Linked DNA regions of Saccharomyces cerevisiae S288C. The gene in region 1 interacts genetically with each later gene. Each region holds a gene or a part of one and is shown on either strand. Other genes may lie near its edges.

Region 1 (7,386 bases):
CTCAAGATTAAGTATCTAATTTTTGTAGGAAAACGACACTGCAAAGAGTGGATCAATATATAATAACATGTTTTAAATAAACGTCTACTTATGATGGAAAACATTAACTTGTGAGTTAGGATTTTTTGTATATGAGATATTTTAAAGAAAATTTAGTTCCAAAGGAGAAAATGACTTGCACAAAAATGACATGGGCAAAATACCTAATATTAAATGAGCTCTATCTACAATCCGTGCAGCTATACATACTTTCACGCTTGTTATACATTAATCAGCGAACCATTATAAGTATGGGGCCACTAATATTTCATATATTCTCTGATCTGAGACTGTTGGAGTCGATTTCTCGCACAATCAGCACTGGTTAAAATTTCGTGGGGTTACTGCTTCTTTTAAGTCGGTCAATGTTTTCTTCATTCTTTCGAACTTTGAATATTTTTTATGACGTCAATTATAAGAAGTATGAAAGTCAGGTTAGCAACAGCTAAAACTAAATAATAAAGGGCTCAAGCAGGCTTACGGCAGGTGGTGATTATATTTACACTACTAATTTTTTTTAATTCGTTTACGCTCTAGTAAAAGTTCTTCGCAACATTTTTTTTTATATTTCTTTATAAAAACTACGGGAAATGACAGGTGCGAATAATCTCATTGATTTTTGTATTGTCAAGCCCATTTAAGACTATAATATTGCTGAAATAAACGTAACAAACGTATGGATATTCACTTAGTTAGAAAAGAAAAATAAAATAAAACTAATTCGAACTTTTTGTTGTTTTTTATTTCAGACAACAATATTATACTGTTACACGCCATTATTGATTACTACTTACATTAACAGTGATTATTTCAAAGAGAATTCTAGTTCAGGAAAGAGCTTAACACTATATTTGTATCGCTAGTACTCTCCAGCTCAATATCCAATTACACGACGGAGCCATGATTGTTGTTTGATTTTGAGCTTCTCTTTCTCTCGTTCTTCTGCGGAAAGACTTTGCTTCTTGTTTACAGTAAAGCCACGCAAGAAAAAACAGAGAACAGCATTGAAAGCCGCAAACGAAATGGACACAATTATCAATAAGCGTTGAATCTTCGAATAGGATTCTATCATCTGAACACGAACCTCTGATCCAATAGGGTATTTTTTTAGATAATTGAGTGGTGATTTGTAGATTGCCATCCCTAAACTAGAGCCGAGTCGCTGTATCAACTCCTTTGCCAGACGCTGAGTCCATATAGCACCAGCGATGGAAGCACCTACTGCGTCTCCGATTTGATAAACGGACATTAGTAACCCAGTGACAGTTGCCATCTCATTGTGGGTGGTTGAAGCGTGCACTAGCGTCCACATAGGAAAACGTATCATACCACCAGCTATACCGACCACAATCTCAGCGCCAATAAGACCCGAAATCCCGTCATATACCACCCTGTATTTGTACAAAAGACCCATTCCGATGACACCAAGAAGCGACCCAGCGACTACAAAGACTTTCGGATGAGGATAGAAATGCAGCATAATGCCGACAACAATATTAGTGCATGACTGTAGAAAATTGTAAAGCTGAGCTATCCGCTGCGCACTTAATGTTGATTCTCCGAATGCTACCATTAACACGGTGACCAAATACTCTAACTCAATCTGCAAACCTAGACGCCATACAAATTCCATTAGCAATGCAACGTAGATGGTTGGATCACCTAGATATACTCGTGGGATAAATGGATTCTTAGCAAATTTTAATTCCCAAATTAGAAAGATAAAACCTAAGCAGCCACCAACCACAATCATTGCAATAATGTGACCCTCTCTCCATTTGGAGGTGGCTCCACCAGCTATTGTGAGAGGTAATAATACTAAAACTAAGAAAGCAGTGAAAAGAATGACTCCAATTAAGTTTATGTCATCCGCAAATTTCCAGAGCGTTTGACGCAGGGTCTGTCCTTTTTCTTTCAATTTTAATGGTGGTAACTTACCGCTGCGCCAGGAAATGTACTGAGCATACACATAGGGAAGGACCAATATTAGGGTGGAGATGGGCACAATGATGCAAAAAATTCCATAGCCCCAACGCCATTTATATGGTGCAACATTACCAGCAACTGAGCTAACAATATTTCCACTTACCCATGTGTTTATAATCACGGGAATCAGAAATATGTTCATCGCAAATGTACGATCTCTCAATCCAGACAGATCACCAGTCAGTGCTGTAGCAAGAAGACGAAATCCAGAATAACCGAACTGTTGTATAACAATACCTGCAAAAAGTCCGGAAAACGTTGGAGTAGCAGCAGAAATAATTTCTCCAATAGTATAGAGCACAAGCGCAAAAATCCAGCATTCTATACGTCCAAACCGATCAGATATACGTGCGTATGGCACTGCGACAACAGAGGCTACTATTGATTTGACGGTATTGATCGATCCTACTTGAGAATGCTTTCCAAAACTGTTAGCGGCATAGGTTTGTATTGATTGCGAAATCTGCCCTCCGAGTCCAGTACAGTAACCCTGCAAAAACAGAGCCACCAGTAGGGCGGTCTTGAGTGAACTAAACGTAACTCCAAAAGCTGTGAAAGAGCTGTAGTCAGACAAGACCTTGTTGACAGCGTCTATACGGCGCAAGCCAGACGTGGTAGACTTCTCAACATTGCTATCTGTCTTTTCGCTGTAGCAGACAGTGCTTTTATCGTCTAAATTGTCATTCCTAGAGTGATCAGTTTCCAGCATTTTCAGAGAGACATTCACGAGCACTTTTTTGCTATATTAGAGTTCTGCTAGGACCCAAACCATCATTTCAATTAAATAAGTCATCTCTATTATCCAAACATAGACCCTTCGCCACTCAAAAGCCACAGAGGGGTGCAATTGTAAGCCGTGGCAGCCTCTATAATAGTATACATTTGTATCACATTTGGGTGCAATAATTTAAACAGATTTTTGCAGTTGACTCAGGACTAAGGGCAATTCTTGCCCAAACTACGGAACCCTGTTTCTGATCCGAAGGGCTTATAATCCATAGAAACCCTTACATTTGCTCACTGAAAACCCTGTGTCCTTATTTGGTATATATGATGCGAGGATTAAACGAAAACGGAAAATTTTAGGTTTGAGGGTCCCATTAGTTCAACTAAAAAAGAAAAACGAAAAAAAAAAAAAACAAAGTCAAACCATAAAAAGTTTTGAACTACAGAAAATGTAGGCTTGTCTATTCTCCTGAATTTGACTTTTTTTTTTTCTAACTTTTTCACACCCCTTCATTAACTAATTAAAACTGTCGTAGAATTTCCCTTCATTTTTATTCAGCCATCCTCAGTTAGGAACGATTGATACAGCCTTCATTCGTCATTTCGTGACTTGCATGTTGGATTGGAAAATTTGCTGGCGGAGCAAAGTCAAGACGTTCAGAGGGAATAGTAAATGAGATTGTACGAACCGGTGAATATATTTTGCTGGCTAGATTTTAAATGGCCATTGTGTTATTGCTCTATCAACATAAAAGAAAGTATATGTGTTTTCAGAATCGTAAAATTTGTGACAAACTAAAAATCAGTATCTTCATAAAAGTAGTAGAGACATTTCATAGGTACGTTCCGCCCTTAGATAAATGTGGCTGCAGTTCATAATGCAGTGTGTAGTAGAGATGATTCTGTTGATCATAAACAATAATATATAATTTCACTAGTACTTGTTCTTATATGCACATAACTCGCCGTATTATCTGGCCAAATGAGCTATAGAGTAACCCTTCTCTCAGCATTATTATAATACAATACCAATGCAAGGACATATGGAAAATGCTACACAAAACTATACTTTAGTGTATTACATAACTCATACCGCACTACCAGATATATGTCGTTACTATTTAAAGTGCGGTATGTAACATAGATAAAAATAAGTATATGTATATGTATAAAAATCTTGTCGTCACAATCATCAATCATTCAGATATGTAAATTCTGCCCTCCCATGGCTTCAATGTTCTGGAAGACGCATCAACTTCGCTTCTTGGGTAGTTTCCGAATTCCAACTTAAACGACGAGCTATTGTTTGGAATCGTGAAGTCAATCGAATCAGAGCTGAAGTTCAAAGCAGCAAACAATGTTTTGTTGTCGTATTTCTTTGTGAAGCTGAACAGTTTCTTATTGTCCAAATCAATAAACTCAAAATCATATCCATATACAGTAATATCCTTGTGTGCCTTTCTAAATCTCAAGGCCTCCTTCCAGAAGTTCAAAACCGAGTTGGGATCCTTGGATTCGTCTTCAGCGTTAATTCCTTCCCTGAAAGACTCGTTCAAGTAAAACCATGGTTTAGCATTAGGACCAGAAAAACCAGCATTTGGCTCCTCACGAGACCATTGCATAGGTGTTCTAGCATGGTCTCTGGAAATAAGGGCAATTGCTTCCAAAAACCTCTTCATCTCCTTCGAGTTTTCTCCATGCTCTTCCTTGATCGCATCATAGTTATTTCTAACTTCGACATCCTCGTATTTTTCGATAGGCCAGTTCTTGAAATTGATTTCACCCAGTTCCTGTCCTTGGTACACATATAGAGTACCGCTCAGTGACACCAACAACACAGACAACAACTTACCAGAAATAACACGGTTCTTAGGAGAATCGTCACCAAATCTGGTAATTGAACGAGGTTGGTCGTGATTTTCCAGATAAATTGTTGACCAACAATCAGTTCCGTTAACGTATCTGAAAAGTTCAGCAAGGGCAACCTTCCAATCCTTTAGTTCATATGGGATCAAATTTTGACGGAACTTGGGCGAAGTCCCGACATCAGTGTGGGAAAAGTTGAATAACTCACTAAGTTCGTGTCTTGATGCACTTGTATACAACCTCTTGGTTTCATCAGTAGCATGTTGCATTTCACCAACTGTCATAATTTCTCTGCCATCCTTCACTCTGTTTCTGATGAACTTGTTCATTTCTTGATGAAACTCATGGATACGTGGTCCGTTCATTGTGAAAGGATCACTGGGTTGCCACTTTGAGTTTTCGTCAATCACAGGAGCGTCTGGTAGACCAGCAACCTTGGAGTACAAGCTTCCCACATCAATTCTAAAGCCGTCTACACCATGGTCTAACCAGTATCCAACGGCACTTTCGTAGATTGCCTTTCTACAGTCCTCATTCTCCCAATTCAAATCAGGTTGGGTGGAGCAAAACAAACGCAAGTAAAACTCTTGTGTCTTTTCATCGAACGTCCATGCAGAACCACCGAAGTAAGACCTCCAATTGTTTGGAGGAATTGGCTTGCCTTCGGCGTCATAACCCTTAGGAGGTCTCCAGAAGAACCAGTCACGTTTTGGATTGGTTTTTGAGGATCTGCTCTCTTTGAACCATTCATGTTCGCTCGAGCAATGGTTGATGACTAAGTCGGTGATAAATTTCATACCAAGCTTATGTGTCTTTTCGATCAAGGCAAAGCAGTCCTCGTTCGTACCGTAGGTTGGCCAGACCTTTTCGTAGTTGGCAATATCGTAACCCATATCATCTTGTGGCGAGTCGTAGAATGGTGAGATCCAAATGGCATCGGCACCAAGCTCTTTGATATACTCCAACTTGGAGGCAATACCCTTCATATCACCCCACCCATCGTTGTTGGAGTCTTTGAAACTTGCGGGATAAATTTGATAGATTGTGGCCTCTTTCCACCACTTGGGTTCTGTTTCTGGATGTGCAGAAGAAATAGTCATTGTACGTTGCTTTCTTTTCTTTATGAAAAAACTTTCACTTTTGTTTGTGTGTTTGGACTGGTGAATGGAACATATATTCTAGTACAGCTAATTCCTCGAGTGAAGAAGTCTTTCTTACTTATATATGTCTTTTACGTGCCTATGGACGTCTTACGAATGATCGAAAATAAGAAAAGAACAAAGTAAATTTAGGATCTGGAAGGAGTGCTGTATGTAAACGAAGCTTTCAGTTTTAGGTAATGTTTGCACAACCTACATGATATAACATGGTATGTTCTGCAAGAGCGTGCCTGGCCCTTGGCCCGTTATAGCAGATCATACCATCTGCAAGCAGACCCCATTATTGCACTGCCTCCGCAATCTTGCGTATACGTAGTCCCACGACAAAGTACGAAGCGTAAACTGACCTTGTTCAGTTCCCCACAAAAATTACATAACCATTTCTCCGCGGAATTACATAATCATTTCTCCGCGAAAATTACATAATCATTTCTCCGTGCGAGTTATAAGTGCTTTTCTCGTGCATCCCTTGGCACTTCACAAAACCTTCTTTTTCTTTTTTTTCTTTATTTCAGGGGAAATCAGTGCAAAACTAAAAAAGAAAGAAATTTTGTGAAATGTAAACTCCAGGTGTCAAAAAATAAATTATATCCGTGGAAAATCAGGCGTCGGAAATTGTAGATGAAACCGCCTCCTCCACAATAAATGCTGACCACACGAACAATGCATACACTCGGACACCTTCGTTCAAAGTATCAGTAGCAGTTCGACACACCGTATACTACTTAGCTCTTAAGGTCTAGGCTCATCTTTCTCAGTTCCTCTTTTTCGCTAATTAAAGGTATATAATGTCACAGTTGTGTAACTAGAGAAGAGCACACTTGTTCCTATCTTTTTCTTCTTCTTTTTTTGGTATGAGTTGAAAAAAATAATCATTGCACAATTTAGTTCTAAACGCTTTTGTTATTACTCAATATCATGTCAGGTGTTAATAATACATCCGCAAATGAGTTATCTACTACCATGTCTAACTCTAACTCAGCAGTAGGCGCTCCCTCTGTTAAGACTGAACACGGTGACTCTAAAAATTCCCTTAACCTAGATGCCAATGAGCCACCTATTGACTTACCTCAAAAACCCCTCTCTGCGTATACCACCGTCGCAATCCTGTGTTTGATGATTGCATTTGGCGGCTTCATCTTTGGTTGGGATACCGGTACCATTTCTGGTTTTGTTAACCTTTCTGATTTCATCAGAAGGTTCGGTCAAAAAAATGACAAGGGAACCTACTACTTATCGAAAGTAAGAATGGGTTTGATCGTCTCAATATTCAACATTGGCTGCGCCATAGGCGGAATTGTCTTGTCAAAAGTCGGTGATATATATGGTCGTCGTATTGGATTGATTACAGTTACTGCCATTTACGTTGTAGGCATCCTAATCCAAATAACTTCCATAAACAAGTGGTACCAATACTTCATTGGAAGAATTATTTCTGGCCTAGGAGTGGGAGGCATTGCTGTCCTTTCCCCAATGTTGATATCTGAAGTTGCTCCCAAACATATCAGAGGAACTCTGGTCCAATTGTACCAGCTGATGGGTACGATGGGTATTTTTCTAGGATACTGTACCAATTACGGTACCAAGAACTATCACAACGCCACTCAAT
Region 2 (5,631 bases), on another chromosome or scaffold:
CCTCATATGAGGTTCGCACTGGTTTTCAAAATACCTTGATTTGCAAGTTGCAATTTTATCTAATTCTTCCCTCACGTTATGCTCCAGTTTTAAGTTAACATCGTTTCTTATCATCAAAATGAATTTAATAGCAAGAGACAGTCCTATAGTTCCTATAATAAAATTGAAAAAAAGCTGTATATACTCCGCAATTAAACTTGGGCTCAACCAAATGCTTTGTCGGGCTAATCTAGCATCTTGCGGATGTTCACCTTCCAATACTTCCTCCCTTCCCAATCTTGGGTTAGCAAGTATGCCATCAGGCTGTCTAGAAAAACTACGGAGTTCCATTCCGGGACTTATGTTGGGATAGGGGATTCAAAGATGAGTCTACATAAGTTAACTCATCAATAATAATGGAAAGAAGTTTCATTAGTTACTACTAGTATTTTGCTTGCTCCCGGGTAATGAATTTTTCCGCTTTTCATCTACGTAGTATTATGTTATTGACGTTGTGTACATTATAGAAACAAAGTGTGGCCTTCTAGCGCAATAGATATTCTCAAGTCTCCTAAGTTCCTCTCCTCAGCTAAAAATCGTAACTCTTCGAGTATGGTTAGTCTTGGGTCTCTTTTAGCAGGTGTTGACTTAACGTGAGTAACGATAACATTCAAACCGCTTAATCCCTTACTACTGTTGTATAAAGTGTTCAAATTGGATAATTCGTTGATTAAATATATTGGAGATAGATGACCATACAATTGCTCGGGCTTGGAAGATAATGGGCATGAACATTCGACTAATATACCCTTGAGATGCACAAGCGGTATATTTTCAGCAACGTAAGACCAAAATTCTTCAAGTAGAGATTCTTCAGATTCTCTGCGGTCCTGCTCAACATCTCCGCAAACTATTATACAGTCTTTGCTTTTCCTGTCTCTGAAGATATAGAAGGTGCTGTATACCGGCGCGCCAGTCTTGACGCCTATCCCATGATGAACTTTGAACGGTATTACATCCCAAGGAAAGATAGTGCACTTTTGAACTTCCTTCGGATTCAAGCATTTTAGCTTCAATTTTCTTGAACGTTCTGCCGTTAAATCTGGCCATATTAAGTCATTAAAGACATGCTTTTGCAAAACGTCAATAGTATGCGGTAATCCCCAAATAGTTTTCTTTTTACTGTTTTCCTGCTCATATATTGAGGGGGAGTTTACTACCAGCCCACTAATATGGTCCAGATGGGGATGGGTAATGTAGTAGTCGGTAATTCCTTGGAAAACCTCGTAAGTTTTCTTCATTGTATTGGCGCTTTCAAAATGCTCTCCCTGCCTCTTTAATGATTGTAGCAAGGACTTGGATAATCCCTTTTGTATGTTCAGTTTGGAATCAATAAAAAACTCTATTGGCTCTCGATCATGTTCATAAAAGCTTGGAACAAGCTCATCATCACCTTCATTTTCATTTCGCCCTTGGACCAACATCTCCCGTAGCTGGTACATTCCTGCACCACCGTCTACAGCTATTAATTCTGGATCCTCTGTTCTAGCAGGCTTAAGTATAAAACACTGTGTTCCGTATTCGGTGGGTCCTCCATTGGCCCCAAGTATAGTTATTTCGAATACAACCATAAAAAGGAATATTGGTAAAAAAGGGGATGAAGAAGAAGAACCTCGTTAAAAGCCACTTTCTCTTGGAAATTTCTAAAAATATAAATTTCAGATATTGCTTCCCTCGAAAATGGAAAGGGTTTGACTATTGGTAATTTTTAGTTTCAAGTCACGCACCCTCACCAAAAAGTGCATCTTAATCAGTAACTCATTTTCCGTGCGGTATTTTTTTCGGGTTGTTTATTGTGACAGATGTAATATTATACATACGTTAACATATGATCTACAGATACTCCGATGATCCAAGGGTATAAAAAATAAGGTAAGGGTTAATTAGGTGGCTAGTTCATGTTAATAAATACATTTTCCTTGGTTGAATTTACTAACTGTAGCATGTAGTCGAAGAACGAAAGAGGCAGGCGTAGTATAAATAGTTTACCGGGTAACGATCCTTGCTGGATTTACCATTCTAAGGTTAATAACTTCTTCAGGCGAGTCATTTGTGAAACCGTAAGCATTTTAACAGCTTTGCTTTCTTCCTTTATTATTGCCATAAAAAATTCTTCGAGACTATATGTCTGGAAAATTTTCCGTACTAAGAGGATGTTAAATCCCAAATCTAGAAGAATATCGGCATTTGCAATATTTTTTTCTTTCTCATCGTTATATGAAAAGGCCCATCTTGCAATGAAATATTTCATCCAATCAATAAAAAAGTCAGTAGTCTCATGAATGAAAAAAACATCAACACGTGAATTCAATAAATAAAGTTTGATTTTCCAGAAAAGATCAGGATCAACGTCTTGTATTATTTCAGAAAACTCCACAATTATAATGACTCTCTGAAATTCAGTTAAAAGATCGTTTACCGCTTTATCGTAATGCAATGAGCCGTTATTTCTGAGTTGCATAAATCGGCTCGCCTGAATTTTATATACACATGTTGAATGGTTTATAATGAAATCGCATTCGCCAAAGTAAGATTGTTCGATAAGGTCTAGATGGGAATTTTTACATAATGACTGAATTACCTTTTGGTTCTCAATCACCTTGTTTTCATTTACGGCTATGCATTTATTCTCAATATCTTCTTCCAATATTGAATGCTTTACTGAGTAGTTATTAAATGAGCAATCTTCCTTTCCATTGTAAACTGAATTAGAGGTAGGAATTTCAATATGAGAATTTGCATATGTCCCAGAATTTATCAAGTATGAAGTGGAAGATATACCGGTGTCACTAACATCCTTGTCCTTCTTTATTTTTTTTTTGGTGACTAACATGGACATTAGTTCATTATCGATGAAAGATCTCTTTTGAGGAGCTAATGATGTATTAATATCCGCCTTAGATGAAAGACAATCATTTTCATCAAATTCTTGGGTTTCAATAGCAGTTTCATCGTGTCTTTCACTTTCTTCAATTGACTGATTTTCAGTTTTTTTTACATCTGGCATACTCATTGCAAGCTTTATACTACCAAACGTCTTTTTTTGATTATCGATCAGGTCAAGGGAGCCGGAATCTAATTTTTGAAAAGTTAACCTTAATGGTTTGATCGAATAGGCCTCCCTATTTATGGTAACATGCTCAAATATTGCATACCTAGAATGATTGCAAATTCTTTTCAGAGGATCCCATACCAAATCCTTTAGGTCTTCTTTTTCTAGACACCATATTTTATAGTTCTTTTTCTCAATTGGCTTATTCTTTTTCAATTTTTTCATTCTTATTTTAAAAAATTCTAGTTTATTAAATTGAGCATCAAAGAGTTCATCATAACGTTTTTCAAACGTATTAAGCTGTTGATCATGTTCTGGGACTTTCACAACCCAGCTTTGCGAACTGGTCTTGAAATTGTACTTACTGCACCTACTCTTATATTTGAAAGATTTCTCAGGTGAGATCCGTTGTAAACGGTATCTATTGTAGGTTTGCTCAAAAATTTGGGGCTTCCATTCTGACAAAGGTTTATCAGAAAATCCAACGCAGAAGTTCAACTTTTCCTCCGTTAGTGTGCTGCATTGCACTTCCAGTACAGAGGACATTTGTCTTAAACTCGGATATGGTACCTTTTTCCTGTATTGACTTCTTCTGAGAAGTGGGATGTTGAACCACTCTAACCTCGTGTTATCGTCTGCCAAACCGTGTTCCGTCATTTTTTGGTGAAGAGGAGCATTTAATTGAACTGAAAGACTTTTCATCCAGCTAAAAAATAACATGTCCTGTTTCCCGACTTTTAACTTTTCCTTGAATAACTCATACTGTAGTTCTTCTTTGTTGTCATTCTCAATGTTAGTCACATTCCATGTTTTGCCAACGGCTACATCTATTTTTTGTCTTCCAGAGGTGATGTGAATTACCTCCAAAAAATACTCTTCACCATTGATCGTGCCGCAGTTTTCATACCCTCCGATTTTCAGTGGTTTAAGTTGCAAATTTCTTAGCTCTTTCAAATATTTTTGTGCTCGTCTTCCCAGTTTGATGTTTTCTTTTAAGTTTCCTGACAGAACAGAATAGCCGCCCACATTTTGGTTACATTTAGATAACTTTACTTCCCAACGTTCAATAATCATAGTATTTTTGTAATATGATCTATTTCTCTAAATTGATTCAATTACTCGAGCTCGTTAACAATGGTGTGGCACTATTGAGTGATTTTCTTCTCCTGAAACATATTTTATGCTTGTATTTTACATATCCTAACAGAAAATACTTTCAGCAATTCTTCCGAAAGTAAAACTTGAAAAAAATTGAAGAAAATGACGAAAAAACAATACAAAACAATAATACAATTCGCTACAAAAAAGGGGGAAGGGCTATCAGAAATCGAATATGGACCTTTGCATCATCCAAAATTAATGAATACTTAACTGCTGACTATACAAACGAAAAAGAAGGCGACCTTAAATATTACACAGAGCCAATAATTTATTCGCGGGAGAAGATTCTCAAAAGGAATCCGTGACTGGGAAATCAGAAACTCACCGTTGGACATCAGGATTTCCCACGATCAGTGCTGATTAAACATGGCTACTTTAGTCTTCAGAATCCTCACCTACGTCATCATCTATGTCCATTACAATGACTTCTGAAGTATTCTGGTGTGTATATTGGTCATTGTCATCCACAATTAAGGGATGCGTTTCATCGTTAGAAAATGGCTTTATGTTTTTCAACGTAGCTGAGCTTTCAGTTAATTCAACCAAGGCGTTGTACCGAGAGACAAATCTTGGCCTTGTACTTAATTCAATAGCCAAGTGCGTCGGTATATCAGTTTCAAAATTAGACTCCGATCTTTCCTTCAGGATTTTAAATATAGTATAAACATCGCTGAATGAAATATGGTTGTTGTAGACATTATCTTCGAACAAGGTCAAATCGAGGCTTTTCAGTTGTAAAACCAACTCCTTCGTAGCAAAAGCCAACCTGCCAAAACGATTTCCCATAAATTTACGAATGGATTCCATGAATTCCCCCATGGGTCGCTGATAAAGAGCAGCGTTTTCACATATTATGGGGTTGTTACTTTCGTTCTTATCATCCGACGTGAACAACAGAAATGTAGTATCTTTATATTCCACGGTGACTTTGGGCAATTCGCTTTTCATTAAAGTCTCTGCCACGTTGCGTATACGGGCGTCCGATGGTTGTTCCTCCACGAGTTCATCATCATACTCCAAAAGGTCTTCTTCATCGCCCTCATCCAATTGAACCCCGACGTCATCCACCTCCACTGTTTTATGCGCTTCTTCTTCACTCATCTTTGATTCCATTGATACCAACAAAAACAATCTTTAACTACGTATCTTTTCCTTTACGTATATATAATTAATCATATATACTTCCCTTTTTTATGCCTTGTTGTAGTTTTAACATATCATGTACCACGAATGGATGCAGGCTCGGCGGGTATTTAGACTTTGCCCCGGATTATAAACAAAACGGGACTATTAGTATCATCTATCAAGAAATCCTTTCATTGAAAATGATTGATACCTCAAGGTGGATTTGACAACTTAAGAGGCGTCGTAAGGATGAA

Evidence for each region. A genetic interaction does not mean that the proteins touch.
Region 2: mutations in ENB1 (region 1) and PDE1 together harm fitness more than expected from each alone (negative genetic interaction), as found in Saccharomyces cerevisiae (2 studies listed by BioGRID).

The regions. Positions count from the first base shown.
Region 1 is NC_001147.6:18,578-25,963, forward strand, and holds ENB1 (Enb1p), read right to left. Parts: upstream 2,735-7,386; coding exon 914-2,734; downstream 1-913. Other genes in the region: oligo-1,6-glucosidase IMA2, read right to left, coding at 3,948-5,717; hexose transporter HXT11, read left to right, coding at 6,696-7,386.
Region 2 is NC_001139.9:31,632-37,262, reverse strand, and holds PDE1 (3',5'-cyclic-nucleotide phosphodiesterase PDE1), read right to left. Parts: upstream 1,611-5,631; coding exon 501-1,610; downstream 1-500. Other genes in the region: BRR6 (Brr6p), read right to left, coding at 1-330; ZIP2 (Zip2p), read right to left, coding at 2,051-4,165; RMR1 (Rmr1p), read right to left, coding at 4,628-5,353; HFM1 (DNA helicase), read left to right, coding at 5,627-5,631. UniProt on the Saccharomyces cerevisiae protein: Controls the level of cAMP in yeast cells, together with the high-affinity cAMP phosphodiesterase (PDE2).